Linked DNA regions of Lepisosteus oculatus. The protein of the gene in region 1 binds, or shares a complex with, the protein of each later gene. Links are inferred from orthologs where the notes say so. Each region holds a gene or a part of one and is shown on either strand. Other genes may lie near its edges.

Region 1 (7,832 bases):
GCCGGGGGCGGCGCGCGGAGGCCTGTGCGTCCAGGACTGGCTGGGCAAGAAGGCACGGCGCCACTTCATCAGCCAGGCCTTGTACTTCGTGCCCAAGCAGCCGCCAGGCCGCCAGCGGGGCGAGGAGGCCAAGGGTGAGTGTGGACACCCCTGTACCCCCTGCGCCCCAGCTCTCTCAGTGTGGACACCCCTGTACCCCCTGCGCCCCAAGTCTCTCAGTGTGGACACCCCTGTACCCCCTGCGCCCCAAGTCTCTCAGTGTGGACACCCCTGTACCTCCCTGGGCCCCAGCTCTCTCAGTGTGGACACCCCTGTTTCCCCTGCGCCCCAGCTCTCTCAGTGTGGACACCCCTGTATCTCCCTGCACCCCAGCTCTCTCAGTGTGGACACCCCTGTACCCCCCTGCGCCCCAGCTCTCTCAGTGTGGACACCCCTGTACCCCCTGCGCCCCAGCTCTCTCAGTGTGGACACCCCTGTACCCCCTGCGCCCCAAGTCTCTCAGTGTGGACACCCCTGTACCCCCTGTGCCCCAAGTCTCTCAGTGTGGACACCCCTGTACCCCCTGCGCCCCAAGTCTCTCAGTGTGGACACCCCTGTACCTCCCTGGGCCCCAGCTCTCTCAGTGTGGACACCCCTGCACCCCCCTGTGCTCCAGCTCTCTCAGTGTGTACACCCCTGTATCTCCCTGCACCCCAGCTCTCTCAGTGTGGACACCCCTGTACGCCCTACGCCCCAGCTCTCTCAGTGTGGACACCCCTGTACCCCCTGCGCCCCAAGTCTCTCAGTGTGGACACCCCTGCACCCCCCTGCACCCCAGCTCTCTCAGTGTGGACACCCCTGTACCCCCTGCGCCCCAGCTCTCTCAGTGTGGACACCCCTGTACCTCCCTGGGCCCCAGCTCTCTCAGTGTGGACACCCCTGTATCTCCCTGCGCCCCAGCTCTCTCAGTGTGGACACCCCTGTACCCCCTGCGCCCCAGCTCTCTCAGTGTGGACACCCCTGTACCCCCTGCGCCCCAGCTCTCTCAGTGTGGACACCCCTGTACCTCCCTGGGCCCCAGCTCTCTCAGTGTGGACACCCCTGTATCTCCCTGCGCCCCAGCTCTCTCAGTGTGGACACCCCTGTACCCCCTGCGCCCCAGCTCTCTCAGTGTGGACACCCCTGTACCCCCTGCGCCCCAGCTCTCTCAGTGTGGACACCCCTGTACCCCCTGCGCCCCAGCTCTCTCAGTGTGGACACCCCTGTACCCCCCTGCGCCCCAGCTCTCTCAGTGTGGACACCCCTCTACCCCCTGTGCCCCAAGTCACTCAGTGTGGACACCCCTGTATCTCCCTGCACCCCAGCTCTCTCAGTTTGGACACCCCTGTACCCCCCTGCACCCCAGCTCTGTCAGTGTGGACACCCCTGTCTCTTGGTGAATCTGAGTGGAGCCCTTTGTTTTCCAGAGTGCTGGAGAATCTCGTTCTCTCACGTCGAGAAGGAAATTTTCAAGAATCACGGCAGCAGCAAGACCTGCTGTGAGAGCTACGCCAAGAACTGCTGCCGGTGAGACCAGCACTGCACCGTACTGCACCCCCAAACCACACTCACACCCCCAAACCACACATGCACCCCAAACCCCACTCGCACCCCCAAACCCCACATGCACCCCCAAACCCACTCACACCCCCAAACCCCACATGCACCCCAAACCCCACACACACCTCTCAAACTCCACATGCACCCCCAAACCCCACTCGCACCCCCAATCCCCACTCACACTTCTCAGACTCCACTTACACCCCCAAACCCCACTCTAACCTCTCAGACCCCACTCAACCCTCTATCAGTCCAGAGGTCACAGTGTCTCTGCGTGTCTGTAGGGGTCAGTCCACAGGTCACGGTGTCTCTCTGTGTGTCTGTAGGGGTCACTCTGGAGGTCTCGGTCTCTCTGTGCGTCTGTAGGGGTCAGTCCAGAGGTCACGGTTTCTCTTTGTGTCTGTAGGGGTCAGTCCAGAGGTCACGGTGTCTCTCTGTGTGTCTGTAGGGGTCAGTCCAGAGGTCACGGTGTCTCTCTGTGTGTCTGTAGGGGTCAGTCCGGAGGTCACGGTGTCTCTCTGTGTCTGTAGGGGTCAGTCCAGAGGTCACGGTGTCACTCTGTGTGTCTGTAGGGGTCAGTCCGGAGGTCACGGTGTCTCTCTGTGTGTCTGTAGGGGTCAGTCCAGAGGTCACGGTGTCTCTCTCTGTGTCTCTCAGTAAGAAGGCTCTGCGCCTGTTGAAGTGTCTCATCGAGGGTCTGAAGCAGCGCCACCCTCGGGAGCTCGCTCAGCTCTGCTCCTACCACGGGAAGACAGTCTTCCTGCACACGCTGAGTCGCCATGGTGATGACGCCATCTGGGCACCGCGGCGGCTCCCCTCCTGCTTCCTGCTGCTGCTGGACAGCTTCATCGCCCACGTCCAGTGCGCCGAACTGCCCCACTTCTTCATCAGCGCCAGCAACATGTTCGCCCCGGCCGCCTTCCCCCGCCGCTCCCTGCTCTTCCTGCAGGGGGCGCTGGAGGAGCAGAGGCAGAGCGGGGTGCCACTGTTCCAGGTGTCCAGCCCGTCACGGCTCCTGCCCGCGGACCCCCCCGGGCCCAGCTCTGCTCCATCGTGCCCCCCGGTGTGCAGCTCCGGCCTGCACTTCCCCTCCCTCCCCTGGGGCTTGGGGGCCCTGGCTCTCCTGACCACCCTGCTGGTTGCAGCAGCTCTAGTGCTTCACTAGGGGGCAGTAGAGAGGGACTTGGTGTCGACTGTGCAGGGCAGGGACCACAACTTTCAGCTGGGGCCTGTGGGTTTCCTTTTGTGTAGTGAATACAGCCGTTAAGCCAACTAAGCACTGAAGTATTAAAAATTCTCAAACACACCAACGAACTCAAAACAGTGAACATTTTCAGCGGCAACAATGAAACACACCAGAGGACACGAGTGGAAACTTCAGGGAATTACATTTTAAACTGAGAGCTGGAGGGACCTCCTTACACAAGGAATTGTAGGAGTGTTGGGCAAGCTGTACAGTCATATTTCTGAAGCTGGTGTCCTTGCCTCTGTGAAGATGAGATTCTCAGTGCAATTAGCCAATCACTGCCACACAGGCCAGATGGGACAAAAGTCTTCCATTCGTCATCTTTCTTGTGTTCTTATGAGAGGTCAGGGTGAACAAGACACCAGAAGACACGGACGACCTGCAGGGACTGCAGAGCAGCAGGATCCACATCTGTGTGTCCTTCCTTCAGGTCAATTCCATTCAAGGTGCTTTATTGGCATGACCAATGAGTAAAATCAGTGTTGCCAAAGCAACACAGATACAATTAACATAAAAAATGACAGACATTTACAATATAGACACATCATAGGATATTTATATTTATATGAAGCATTACTGGGAGGCAGGCTGACTGTTCCTCAGGCTGTGACAGGAGGTCACATACTGGGCTGCCAGTTCAACTGAGGTTCCTCCTCCCTCTCCCAGTAGGATTGGGAGCTGTTGTGATCAACAAGGAATATTTCTTCTCTGTCCTCCTGTGTCTCAGTGCTTCTGTCCCTCTGTCTCTCTGCACCTTCTGCAGGACACTGAGAGAGAAGAACTGACCTGCCTGCTGATTGGACATAATGGGAAAATCAGACTGTGAACTGCTAACAAACACATTCATTAACACAATGTAGCAAAATTATGTATCTGATGTACTCAATTAACTGCATATGTATATTATATTTTTAGACAGTGATTTTAAAAATAGGAAAAAATAATTGAAATGTTTGAATAAAGAAAATCTTTGTTCCTGGGAACCAATGTGCATATTTGAATCTATCAATTAAAATGAATTTAAATTGATCAGCCAGCAGCTGACAGCTGGAACCCCACTGGAGCTCAGCGGGTGTGAGCCTGGTCAGTCTGGAGCCTGGATGGGAGACCTCCTGGGAAAAACTAAGACTGCTGCTGGAAGAGGTGTTAGTAGGACCAGCAGGGGGCACTCACCCTGCGGTCTGTGTAGGTCCTAATGCCCCAGTATTGTGATGGGGACACTAGACTGTAAAAATAGGCACCGTCCTTCGGATGAGAAGTAAAACTGAGTTTGTGACTTTCTGTGGTCATTAATAACCCCAGGGTGTTTCTCGATAAGTGCAGGGGTGTTACCCCAGTGTCCTGGCCATTTTTCCCATGAAGGCTCCACAGCCGAAACATTTCTTTTCTTCCCTTTTCAGCAGGAATAAACCTTCACTTCCTTTAAAGCCCACAGGTGCTGACACAGCTCCCCACCTGAACTATCATAAGTCAATGTAAGGGAACAAGTAAAGGTTTATTTCCTGCTGAAAAGAGAAGAAAGAAAACACAACGTTTCTGCCGTGGAGCCTTCTTCAGGTCTCAGGTCACACAGCTCACACCTGAACTATATACAGTCAATGTATGTATCTGTTTAATTTCACACAAGGGTGAACATTTATATGTTTTTACCTTTTCAGGAAATTATAAATGTCTTACAAATCACCACGACCCCATGTTAGATATCAGTCTTCTTCATGTATCCACAGTGTAAATTAGGAAAATTATTTATTCAACAAAACACACAGAAGTCTGCTATTACAGAAATTTTCAGAAAACAGCCTCATTATTCCATTATACGTTCTACAAAAGAAGACATCGTAAATACTGAGACACGAGTTTAGAAATAACGCCACTGCTATATAACTTTTCTTGCGCCAATTTGATATGAGCATTAGTCTCTAGTCTCTATTAAGACCGGAACCTGGGTTACATCACCAACACATTCCACGGAGCCAATCCAGCCGGGCACTCGATTATAAAAGGCAGCGCCGGAAGTCTGTCGCTCTCTTCTAGTGCTCCAACATGGCGGTGAGTAGTGTTTGTCAGCTGAAGATGGCGGTGTCTCTACTTTTGTCAAAATGTCAATCCGTTTCCATCGGTCGTTAAATTAAGCGTCAGCAGGCTGGTAGAGCCCGGGGCTTTCTTGCAGGCGACTGAACTGCGGGGGCCACTATGTTTGGTTTTTGTAGCTTGAAGCGAAACACATATAAACACACCTGGAGTGGCACAGACCCCTGTCCCCGTCTCCGGCCTGGGTCTCCCGCACCGCCGGCCAGTGCTTGTGGTTTCGACCGGCCCGGCTGAGGTCCTGGTGCCGGGAGAGCCGGAGGATTCCGGCTTCACCGGTGTTCTAATGAGACGGCTGTGCCTTTCCAGCCGGGCTCCGGGCGGCGGTCTGTGGGGCACGTCCCGGCGGAGTCCGGGTCCGGTGTGGAGCGGGCCGGGCCCGAGCTCTGGGTGTGGGTCGGTTCTGAGAAGAGCTGCTCGGAGAAGCCGGACTGCATCCCGGGGCCCGTGGGCTCACGGGCTCGGTCCGGCGGAGTGCCTGTATTGGCGCTCCCCCGAGAACACGGGTCATCCCGGTGTCAGGCTGCCCCACGCGTTGCGTGTTTCGAGTGGGTTCTGCTCCCCGAGGTGGTGGTGTCTGCGGCTCGGGGGGGTCGGCTCCTCTGTGTGGAAGTGACCCGTGGCCCGCTGTCCCCGCAGGACCAGGCTGAGAAGAAGGAGAACCCCATGAGGGAGCTGCGCATCCGCAAGCTGTGCCTCAACATCTGCGTGGGCGAGAGCGGCGATCGGCTGACCCGCGCGGCCAAGGTGCTGGAGCAGCTGACCGGACAGACGCCCGTCTTCTCCAAGGGTGAGTCAGTCGGCCGGCCCGGGGGGCGGCGGTGCGGGGGCCGCCCGGACGCGCTCTGACCCCCTCTCTCTCTCGCCCGTCCAGCCCGCTACACCGTGCGGTCCTTCGGCATCCGCAGGAACGAGAAGATCGCCGTCCACTGCACCGTGCGCGGCGCCAAGGCCGAGGAGATCCTGGAGAAGGGGCTCAAGGTGAGGAGTCCCGTTCGGCCTGCCGGCTGCAGGGCGGGGGGGTGAGGGTGTGACTCGTGTGCTCTCGAACCCGGGCCCGCGGAGGCTCACTGCCTGTCTGCCCGTCTCTTCCAGGTGCGGGAGTACGAGCTGCGGAAGAACAACTTCTCCGACACGGGGAACTTCGGCTTCGGGATCCAGGAGCACATCGACCTCGGGATCAAGTACGACCCCAGCATCGGCATCTACGGGCTGGACTTCTACGTGGTGAGGATCCACTGTCCGCCTGTCCGCACTGCAGCGCGGGCCTCGCCTCGCCGTGGGCCTCCCCCCAGTCACGCTCTCCCTCTGTCGCGCAGGTCCTGGGCCGGCCCGGCTTCAGCATCGCAGACAAGAAGCAGAAGAGGGGCCGGATCGGCGCCAAGCACCGGATCAGCAAGGAGGAGGCCATGCGTTGGTTCCAGCAGAAGGTAGGAGCCGGCGACCCGCTGGGCTCGGTCCTGCTGGGGACGGTGTGTGGGTCCGGTACAGCTCATGGAGGTTCTGGGAGGTGGGGAAGGTTTTCCGGCCCCGGAAGGCTGGGGAGATGAGAGTTGTCACTGTGGGACCTCCAGCACGACTCCGCTGGTACATCCTGCTCAGGCACAGGCTGAGCTCCGGGATCTCGGGTTCGAGTCTGGAGTCATGTGACCGGGAGTCCGGCTGTGAGGGTAGGGCCGGATTCGTGGGTCAGTGGCTGACCGCTGCCCTGTCCACAAGCAGCTGTGGGTCTGCCAGGCTTGGCCTGGGCGTCAGTGTAGCGAGTCTGAGGCCTGGGAGCGGCTTGGCGCTGTGGGTCCCAGTAAGCAGGGAGGTGGTCCTGGCCTAGTGGAGAGCTCCTGCCTCTCGGCTCGAGGGTCGGTGACGAGCCCAGCGTGTGGATCCAGGGCTCGGGGCCGGGGAGACTCAGCCACTGAGCTGGTTTAGAGAATACACCCAGGTTATCGACTGGCAGTACTGGATTTTAAGAGTTTAGATTTTGTAGTGAAATGTACAAAGGTGATTTAAAATGACTACTTGTACATTAATGCAGCCAAGACAAAAGACCTGGCACGAAATGGAGGAGACGCTAACAGTTGTGTGACTGTGCTGATTCAGACATGCCTGAGTAAGAGGATTCCTGAGGTTTTGGCGCTGGGGTTCACAGGTCTGACTCTAGTGGCTGAGCTCTCGCAAAGGAGTCTGATCTGCTTCAGGTGCGCCAGGCCTCCTGTTGTCTGCTACTGCCACTCTTGATGCACAATCCTCTAACTGCTGCTCCCTTTGTGTTTTTGTTTTGCAGTACGATGGCATCATCCTCCCTGGCAAATAAAGGACTGCTTTCTTGATTTCATTTGTAAAGATTTGCAAAATAAAGTTGTAAAAAGCTGAAGTTTGACTGTCTTGCCTGCAACCATGAGTGTTGAATTGAAATGGTGCTGTGGGCCAGGCTAGGTGTTGGGGAGGGGGTAGGGTAGAGTTTGTTCCAGCCAAACGCAGTGGTGCTTAATTAGTCAGGTTGTGAGGATTGAGCAGAAATGGATCCCCTGTGTCTCGTCTTGCAGTGTTGTTGCACAGGGCTGTCCATCCCAGCTGGACACAACAGTACTGCTCGGCCCCCGAGTCCTGCTGCAGCAGGAGACCCGCCGCTGCAGTTCCAGGACCCAGAGCTCGGGCCAGCTTCCTCGCGCCTGCGCTGGGTACCAACCTGCAGCAGGTTGTCCAGGCTCGGTGTGAGGGACCCTTGAACCCAAGAGAGCCCCCCCACATTATGAAATCGCCTGCTGGAGTTCACCCCAGGCCATGAGGGGTATTCCTGCCCTCAACCAGCAAGGGGCACTGTTGGGCAGGAAGTGTGCCTGTGTGGCAGGGGTGTGCACTGCGGTTCTCGCTGCCTGACCAGGCTGCAGCATCTTGCAAGACTGACCGGCTGGGGCAAAGC
Region 2 (7,029 bases), on another chromosome or scaffold:
GGAACTTCACCCCTTGAGAATTTCAGGGGATTCTGATGTTTGCCACAAGTTCTTTCTAAATTAATCAACACATCGTTTTTAATTGATCACTTGTCAAGCCAGGTCGTGTAGAAAGTGATGGTTTAATGATTACTTATAAAAGCTGCTGGTTTTGAACTCCCCAGAACCAGCATTAGGAACCCTTAACCTAGGGAAACCCAAACTTAGCCGTTGTCATAGTAACTGTGGCATTCCTCTTACACATTTACTTATCTGTAGACCAATTTTAGTCTCCACCACAAGGTTAGGGCTAATAAGATTAATAACATGTTGATAAGATTACAAGGCCAAGTTCTAGAAGTACACCAAAACAGCATTAAAATGTATATTAACAGAGTTTTAATCTCTTATCTTCAAACTTCACTTTAGCTTAAATGTTTGTTTTCAAGAGGGGAATCCGATTCTCTCATACAATTTGCATAGATTTCAGATCTTAAATGACATAAGGTTACCACTGTAACAATGAACACTAGTGATTATTAAAACAGCACCACTCAAACATACAGTAGTAAGTAATTAAGATTATACAAAGAAAATGAACATTTCCACAGCAACTGTTTGGTGAACGTTTATTCATAAGCCACCAACTTCAAATACATTCTGTAATATTTACTCTTCAGACAGCAGCAAAATTAGGCTTATGCACACCTTAAATATTCAGATTCCCAAGTCCGACACTTAATTTTCTTAACTTTAGGCACATATACGAATGCTGGGCCTTCATATTACCACCCTTTAAGCCCTTCAAACAAACTAGAAAGACATTACAAAAACCATCTTTGAAGACATAAAAGAGTCCATTAACTGTAAAAATACTATCACACGCAGAATGTATTCAGAATACAAGTAGTACAGAACTTTGAATATTTGTTATTCCCTGTCAGAAGCTGAAAAAACAGTCCCCCATTGTATGTGTCATGATAGTATAGAGCCCATCTAGGGCCTGTAATCAAGTGAATTTCACCCAGTCAGGTCAGCAAGTTAGATCTAAAGTTAACCTAACCTAAAGTTAGACCAAGGCCAATCATAAAACCGACAAAATGACAGGCAAGACAGATTTCCACTGCACAGCAGTTACAGCTGTATCAGGTACCAGATATCACTAGCTTATTTTGACTGAATCTAGGTCAAGACTAAGGCTGCAATTATATCAACTCTTCTGTTTCATAAATACCTGATGTAAAAGAGAATGCAACTCGAATATCAATTAAAACATGCTGCTGTACAATAGAATCTGAACTACATTTAGGCTCATGATAAGGTCTTCTACATTTACACCCATTTATCATTTGTTAACAGATGGGCATTCTACATGAGGCAAATGAACAAAAAACAATTTGGACGAAGGGCTTTCAGAGCTCAAAGCGAAAACAACACACGATTCTACGGAGAGACTTAATATTCAGTCGAGAGAAATTTCACTCATCCAGCGAATTGTCACGCACAGTACCGTACACTGCAAAAGAAGCAAAGCAAGGCATCGTATCATGTGGAGGAACAATAGGGTTACTCCATGCTGAAAAGAGAAGAAAGGAAACAACGTTTCGGCGGGGCGGAGCATTCTTCGGGTGTAAGAGTTAAAGAGTCTTCCAGCCGAAACGTTGTTTCCTTTCGTCACTTCTCAGCAGGGAATAAACCTATTACTTGTTCCTTTGCAGCTGACGCAGCTACGCACCTGAACTACCATATCATGTGTCCTATTAACCATCGGATACAAAAATATTTAACCCAGTGCACAGTTCATTGATGTGCGTCCCATTAAACGTGAAACCAGTTCCACGGGGCCTCACGGTTATTTCTTTGGGGGGGAACAAGGCACCAAGGTTTGCAGAAAAAGTTCGTTCTGTACAGAACACCGAATGACGACTGCATCTAGACACGCTCCTCTTCCACGCCAGGCAAAACGCGAGAAGCCCGTGGCGCCTCTATCGCTTCCCTTGCTTCATGCGTGGCTTTCTGTTCTTGCCTCCGCCTCCAGCGCGTCCCTTTTTCCCCTTTCCTTTCCCAGAAAAGTTACCCTTGCGGCCCTTTTTCCCTGGCGTTTTCCTCCTCTTGGACCCCGACTCCACATCCTCTTCCCTCATCTGCTTGTTGACGGCTTTGGTGATGTCCAGCCTGGGTTTCTTGCCGTCCATGATCTTGAGCATGTCCAGCTGTTTCTGCTTCTCGCTGGAGAAGTCGCCGATGAGGGGCTGAAACTTCCTTTTCTTCCCCGTGTTTCTAGCCGGCTTCTCCTTGGGTAGACGGTCTTGAAACTTACCCACGGAGGCCGTGGATGTCTTGGCCACCTGCATGGCCATCTGCAGCTCCGCTTTCGACTGCTGGCTGGCGGGCGTCAGCCCAGCGCCGGGCACTTTGATCTTCTGCGCCCGGGCGATGTTCTTCAGCCGGTTCAGCTCGTTTTTGGCCACCCTCTCCTTCTTGGCCTTTACGCGCTTGGCGAACTGGTCCTCGTTGGGGTCGGCGGTCGCGGGAACCTCGATCAGCCACTCTTTGGTGTCGTCATTAGCTCTCTTGTAGCCCCACCGCCTTTTCCACTCCTTGTGTACGTCGTCCCACACCAGGTTGGTTTTCTTCTTCTTCTGGATCCCCTTCAGCTTGGCGAATTCCTCCCATTTGGTCGGCGCCCTGGGTTTAGGCACCGGTTTCTCTCTCGGCAGCCGAGTGGAAGGGTCGGGTAGCTTGGCCACTATCACCTCCTCGACCCTCTCTGTGGGCAACTTCCAGAGCTCATTGATGAGCAGCTGCGTGTTGCCCCGGGCGAGAGAGCGCAGGAACTCCTCTTTTTTCTGCTGCTTGAACTCTCGGACGTGGGGAGGATTTTTATCAGATGCAAGCAAGTTCCCCAGGTCGAACTCGAGTTCGAGTTCTTTGTGGACCGAGATGCTTTTGAGTTTTTCGGCTTCTTCTTTCTCGGCTCTGGCGAGCACGTCTTCCACACTGCAGGACGCCATGACGGTCTCGCTCTCAAAGGAAGCACGCTGGAGCCCGTGGGAAAGGTCAAGCGACTGTTTCCGGGTCTCCATGGATGTGGTTTTACGTGCAGGTTCCGCTATGTGGCGGTATTTAACCGTAAATACGAAATTAAAACAATATATATTCAGCCGTGGTGGAGAAATGCGCATTTCAGGCGTAGAACTGTATATCGAAATTTCACAAGAAAAAGTATAACCAAAATAAATTATAGTTGTTGTTAAACTAATTTTACATACCTCTCATCCTTCTATGCAAACCAGTTGTGAAAATGAATTTCTTTAATAATACTCAGTAATACATTAATAATCATTAAAGGACTGAGCCTTCATATTCTCATAGTATCTCACCCTTAGTCAAATTGTCCATGACTTCATAAATATTTACCTTCCACCCCCTGTAACTATACCGTAGCTAGGGCATAACCCGATACATAATTCTTTAGCCTGGCTAAATAAACCAATATAATTTTAGACCGAGCTGACTATGTCGAGTATTATATAGACTACGCCACACACGAGGTAATGTTTTGATACTGGAGTTACGTAATATAATTTTCTCACCTGACCCCGGGCTCTTTAAATTCATTTTTTAAACGCGGAGTTTTTTTTTTAAGTTCTACTGACAAACACAGAGAAACAACTTTTCTAACGGAGTATGGCTTCCTTTAAAAATTCTAATTAACGTCTTCAAAATCTTTATTTTCGAACCATACATACATATATATTATTTTAAGACATACTTAGGTTTATCTTTTTCCAAGAAATAAATGTTAGTCAAAACTATACGATATATAGTATATAGTATATCCTATGAATGATCTTTTAACAGCCTAGTTCACTCAAAATGAATAAACAAAATCGTAAATACGAAATTAGAGTAAATAACTCTTCATAGTTTCAAGCAACTAATTTCTGAAAGAAAAGTGGCGGTCAGTAACAAGACAAATGTGTTTTTCTTCAAGGGAAAAAAATCGTTTAGTTTGTCTGATTTAAACAGTGCTAATCCCAGTCTTCCTGCATTTCACACTGAAGAGTCATGAATGAAACACATATTGACTCGCTCCTGGTGAATGGAGCTGGAACCTGTCAGTGTGCCACAGATAAAACAAGTTGAAACACAACATTTACAGTTTGTAAGCTCCAAATACTTGCCAGTCCCTGTATCTGCTGCAGTCTCTCTCTCCAGGCCTGCCACTAGAGTAAACCTAACTTGGGGATGCAGAGATTAAATGTAATGTCAGTGTCAAAAAGAGGGGTCACTTTACAGTGTTGGCATACATGAACTGAAAGTCTGCACACCACATTGCACATTACTCTCTTAGAACACTGCCTCCCTGGGCACTCTGCATAAAGCCTTTGTACATTTGTCCCAAGGCTACATCGTTCATATGGCAGGTTTTTAAACCAAACCACTATAAAATCAGCAGGTTTCATAGGCACACATCAAAGTGATTACAGATCTTGCGGTCGATGAAAACCAAAACGTTCATCCTAGTTCTTTCAAACACTGTCCAACTGGGCCTAATGTATAAAGTCAGTATTGAACATTTTTTTTTTAAATTGGCTTTTATTCATTTTGTGGAAAGAGCACACTGTGCCTTTGTTTTAAGGTCCTTAAGAGGAGCACAAACATCCTGATCTGGAAATCGTTGTAGAGGAACTCTGGTGTGGTTCCACTTACTTGGAAAGGAAACATACTGTAATATAATACTGAGACAGTAATGTCTTGCTCATATTTCTAATCCAGTCCTATATATTATTTACCTTATTCAACAAACTGTACTTACATACTGTACTGTAAGTGTGTATGAAGTGTGCATTTTTGCAATTACTTGGTGAGTGAAAGATAAAGTGATCTTATTATTTTAGTTTCAACATATTTAGTTAATATTGTTTTTGACATTTCACATCCCAAGCTATGCAACCGTTTTCCATTCAGCTGATAAATTCGAAACTGCAGTTTTGAACGGTTTTTTTACTTTTGTGCAGGATTTCTCTTTTTACTGTGTAAGAAAGCAAACACTTGTTCTACAAAAGAAATATTGCAATAAAGAAGTTAGACAAAGGCATAAATAATATTATTGCTATTAAATTCTAACAACAATTTGTTTGGGAAGCTTTTAGAGATTATTTTGTGTTACAAACTGATAACCTAAAGACTGGCAGTGCTGTAAAAACTGTGAAACAAAACAACCCTACTTGAAAAAAGCAAACAATGTTGTGTACTGCATCCTGAATAAAGAGGTCATAAACCACAGGGGAAAGTGGAACAAACCAGCTTGCTTTAAAAGTAATACTTTTATTTGGGACTTTTCCTTTGTGCAGTCATACCTTTATATTGGATGCTCTGATCCACTTACTTTCCTCCATATCTTTTGCTGTATGAGTTTCCTCAACATGCAGAAAGCTTTAAACTGAGTCAAACATTTTCAACTCTCAATTCTACAATTTGTTAGAAGAAAAAAAAAACAAGATTGAGAAAGATGCTACCAGCAAAAGACTCAAGGGTGATGTTCTACTGCTGGAGCCCATCTCTTTCTTCAAAGAGTGCCAAGAAACAAGGATTTTTTGTTCCATGTGGCACTGGTCCTGTCATCATAAACCACTTGTCTCATGTGGCTCACCATCATAGCATCAGTAGTAGTGATTCAGAAAGCTTCTTATTGTGTGCTCTAGCTGAGCCACACTTCTCAATGAGTCCAAAATTACAGCAGGGGTAATTATTTCCATTTGGGAATGAGTACACAGGCTTTGAAGTATAGCCCCTTCACTGACAGTGGAGATGTCTTGGTAAGCAGCAGACAAAATCACTATGGGGTGAAAATACTATGATAGGTTTCCTTGGCTAAATTGGAGTCAGGCTCCAATAACTATAATTCTAACATCGATCTATATAGACAGCAATTCTACTGAGAGTGCGCTTTTAGCCTTTCATTCCCAAATCATTCAGGTTTCCAAGTATTTTCTTTCTTCATAATTTACAGTATATGCTAGATAAAAATTGTTATGCATAGGTGAACATATAAACTACAAGCCAGACCAGCAGGCAGTCATATATTACAAAAATAGATACTTTATTGTCCACTGCTGTGGAAGTTTGTCTTTGGCTTCTTTCACAGAAGTACAAAACACACAAGCAAAACACAAGAGTCACATAAAATCACAACAACAGTATGTGATACATAAATAGATGGATAAATAAATATTTAGAGGGGAGACTACATTTACATACCTTCCTTAAGTAGTTTTATTGCAGAGGGGACAAAGGACTTCTTATAAATGTTTTTATTTCAATTTGGTACCCTATACCGTCTTCCTGATGGGAAGATTAGGAATTGGGAATGGAGTGGATGTGTGGAGTCAGCTGTGATGTTCCTGGGCATTCTGAGAACTGTACTATGATATGAGTTGCAGAGCTGGGGCTGCTGTTTCCCAGTTATTTTTCCTGCCATTTTCACAATCCGGGACAGTTTAGGTTTCCATACCACACTGTCATGTTAAATCCCAGGATGCTCTCAACAAGGCTTTTATATGCCATCTCTAGGATATTATGAAATTAGAACATTAAAGTTCTTGAGTCTTTGAATTAAAAACATCTCTGATTTGCTTTTTAAAAAATGTTGTCTGTATTCTCGGTGTAACTATGCCTCTGATCAATATGCATTCCCATAGACTCCCCACAACCTCTACAGGCTGACCATTGAGTACTATTGTCTGCAAAGATTGCCCTCCATCAGTTTTAGCATTGAAAAGAAGCTCTTTAGTTTACAGAAAACATTCATCAATCCACTTTCAGTCCTGGTTAGGATCATGGCGTTACAAAAAACATAACAGCATGAAAACACAAGAACAAATCAGACTGAGACGATGCCACCAGTACCAGCAAAGCTCACTAGTGTTCTTTAAGACATTTGAGCATGTGTATATAAAGGCGTCATGCTATGGTCAGTGAGCGCACTACCTACAAATGTATTATACAGAAATCATCTTTTTCCTTTGAGTTGCTAAATGTAAA

Evidence for each region. Proteins that work in one complex are often made in the same cells at the same time.
Region 2: rpl11 (region 1) and rrs1 share a complex: the UniProt entries of both Homo sapiens proteins name them as parts of the hexameric 5S RNP precursor complex. The link is inferred for Lepisosteus oculatus from reciprocal best matches to the Homo sapiens genes RPL11 and RRS1.

What each region holds. Positions count from the first base shown.
Region 1 is NC_090706.1:290,077-297,908, forward strand, and holds rpl11 (large ribosomal subunit protein uL5), read left to right. Parts: upstream 1-4,801; 5' UTR 4,802-4,867; coding exon 4,868-4,873; intron 4,874-5,551; coding exon 5,552-5,702; intron 5,703-5,786; coding exon 5,787-5,893; intron 5,894-6,007; coding exon 6,008-6,139; intron 6,140-6,231; coding exon 6,232-6,342; intron 6,343-7,193; coding exon 7,194-7,223; 3' UTR 7,224-7,283; downstream 7,284-7,832. Other genes in the region: cyclic GMP-AMP synthase, read left to right, coding at 1-134, 1,446-1,545, 2,236-2,743.
Region 2 is NC_090701.1:51,349,804-51,356,832, reverse strand, and holds rrs1 (ribosome biogenesis regulatory protein homolog), read right to left. Parts: upstream 3,087-7,029; 5' UTR 3,066-3,086; coding exon 1,965-3,065; 3' UTR 592-1,964; downstream 1-591. UniProt on the Homo sapiens protein: Involved in ribosomal large subunit assembly. May regulate the localization of the 5S RNP/5S ribonucleoprotein particle to the nucleolus.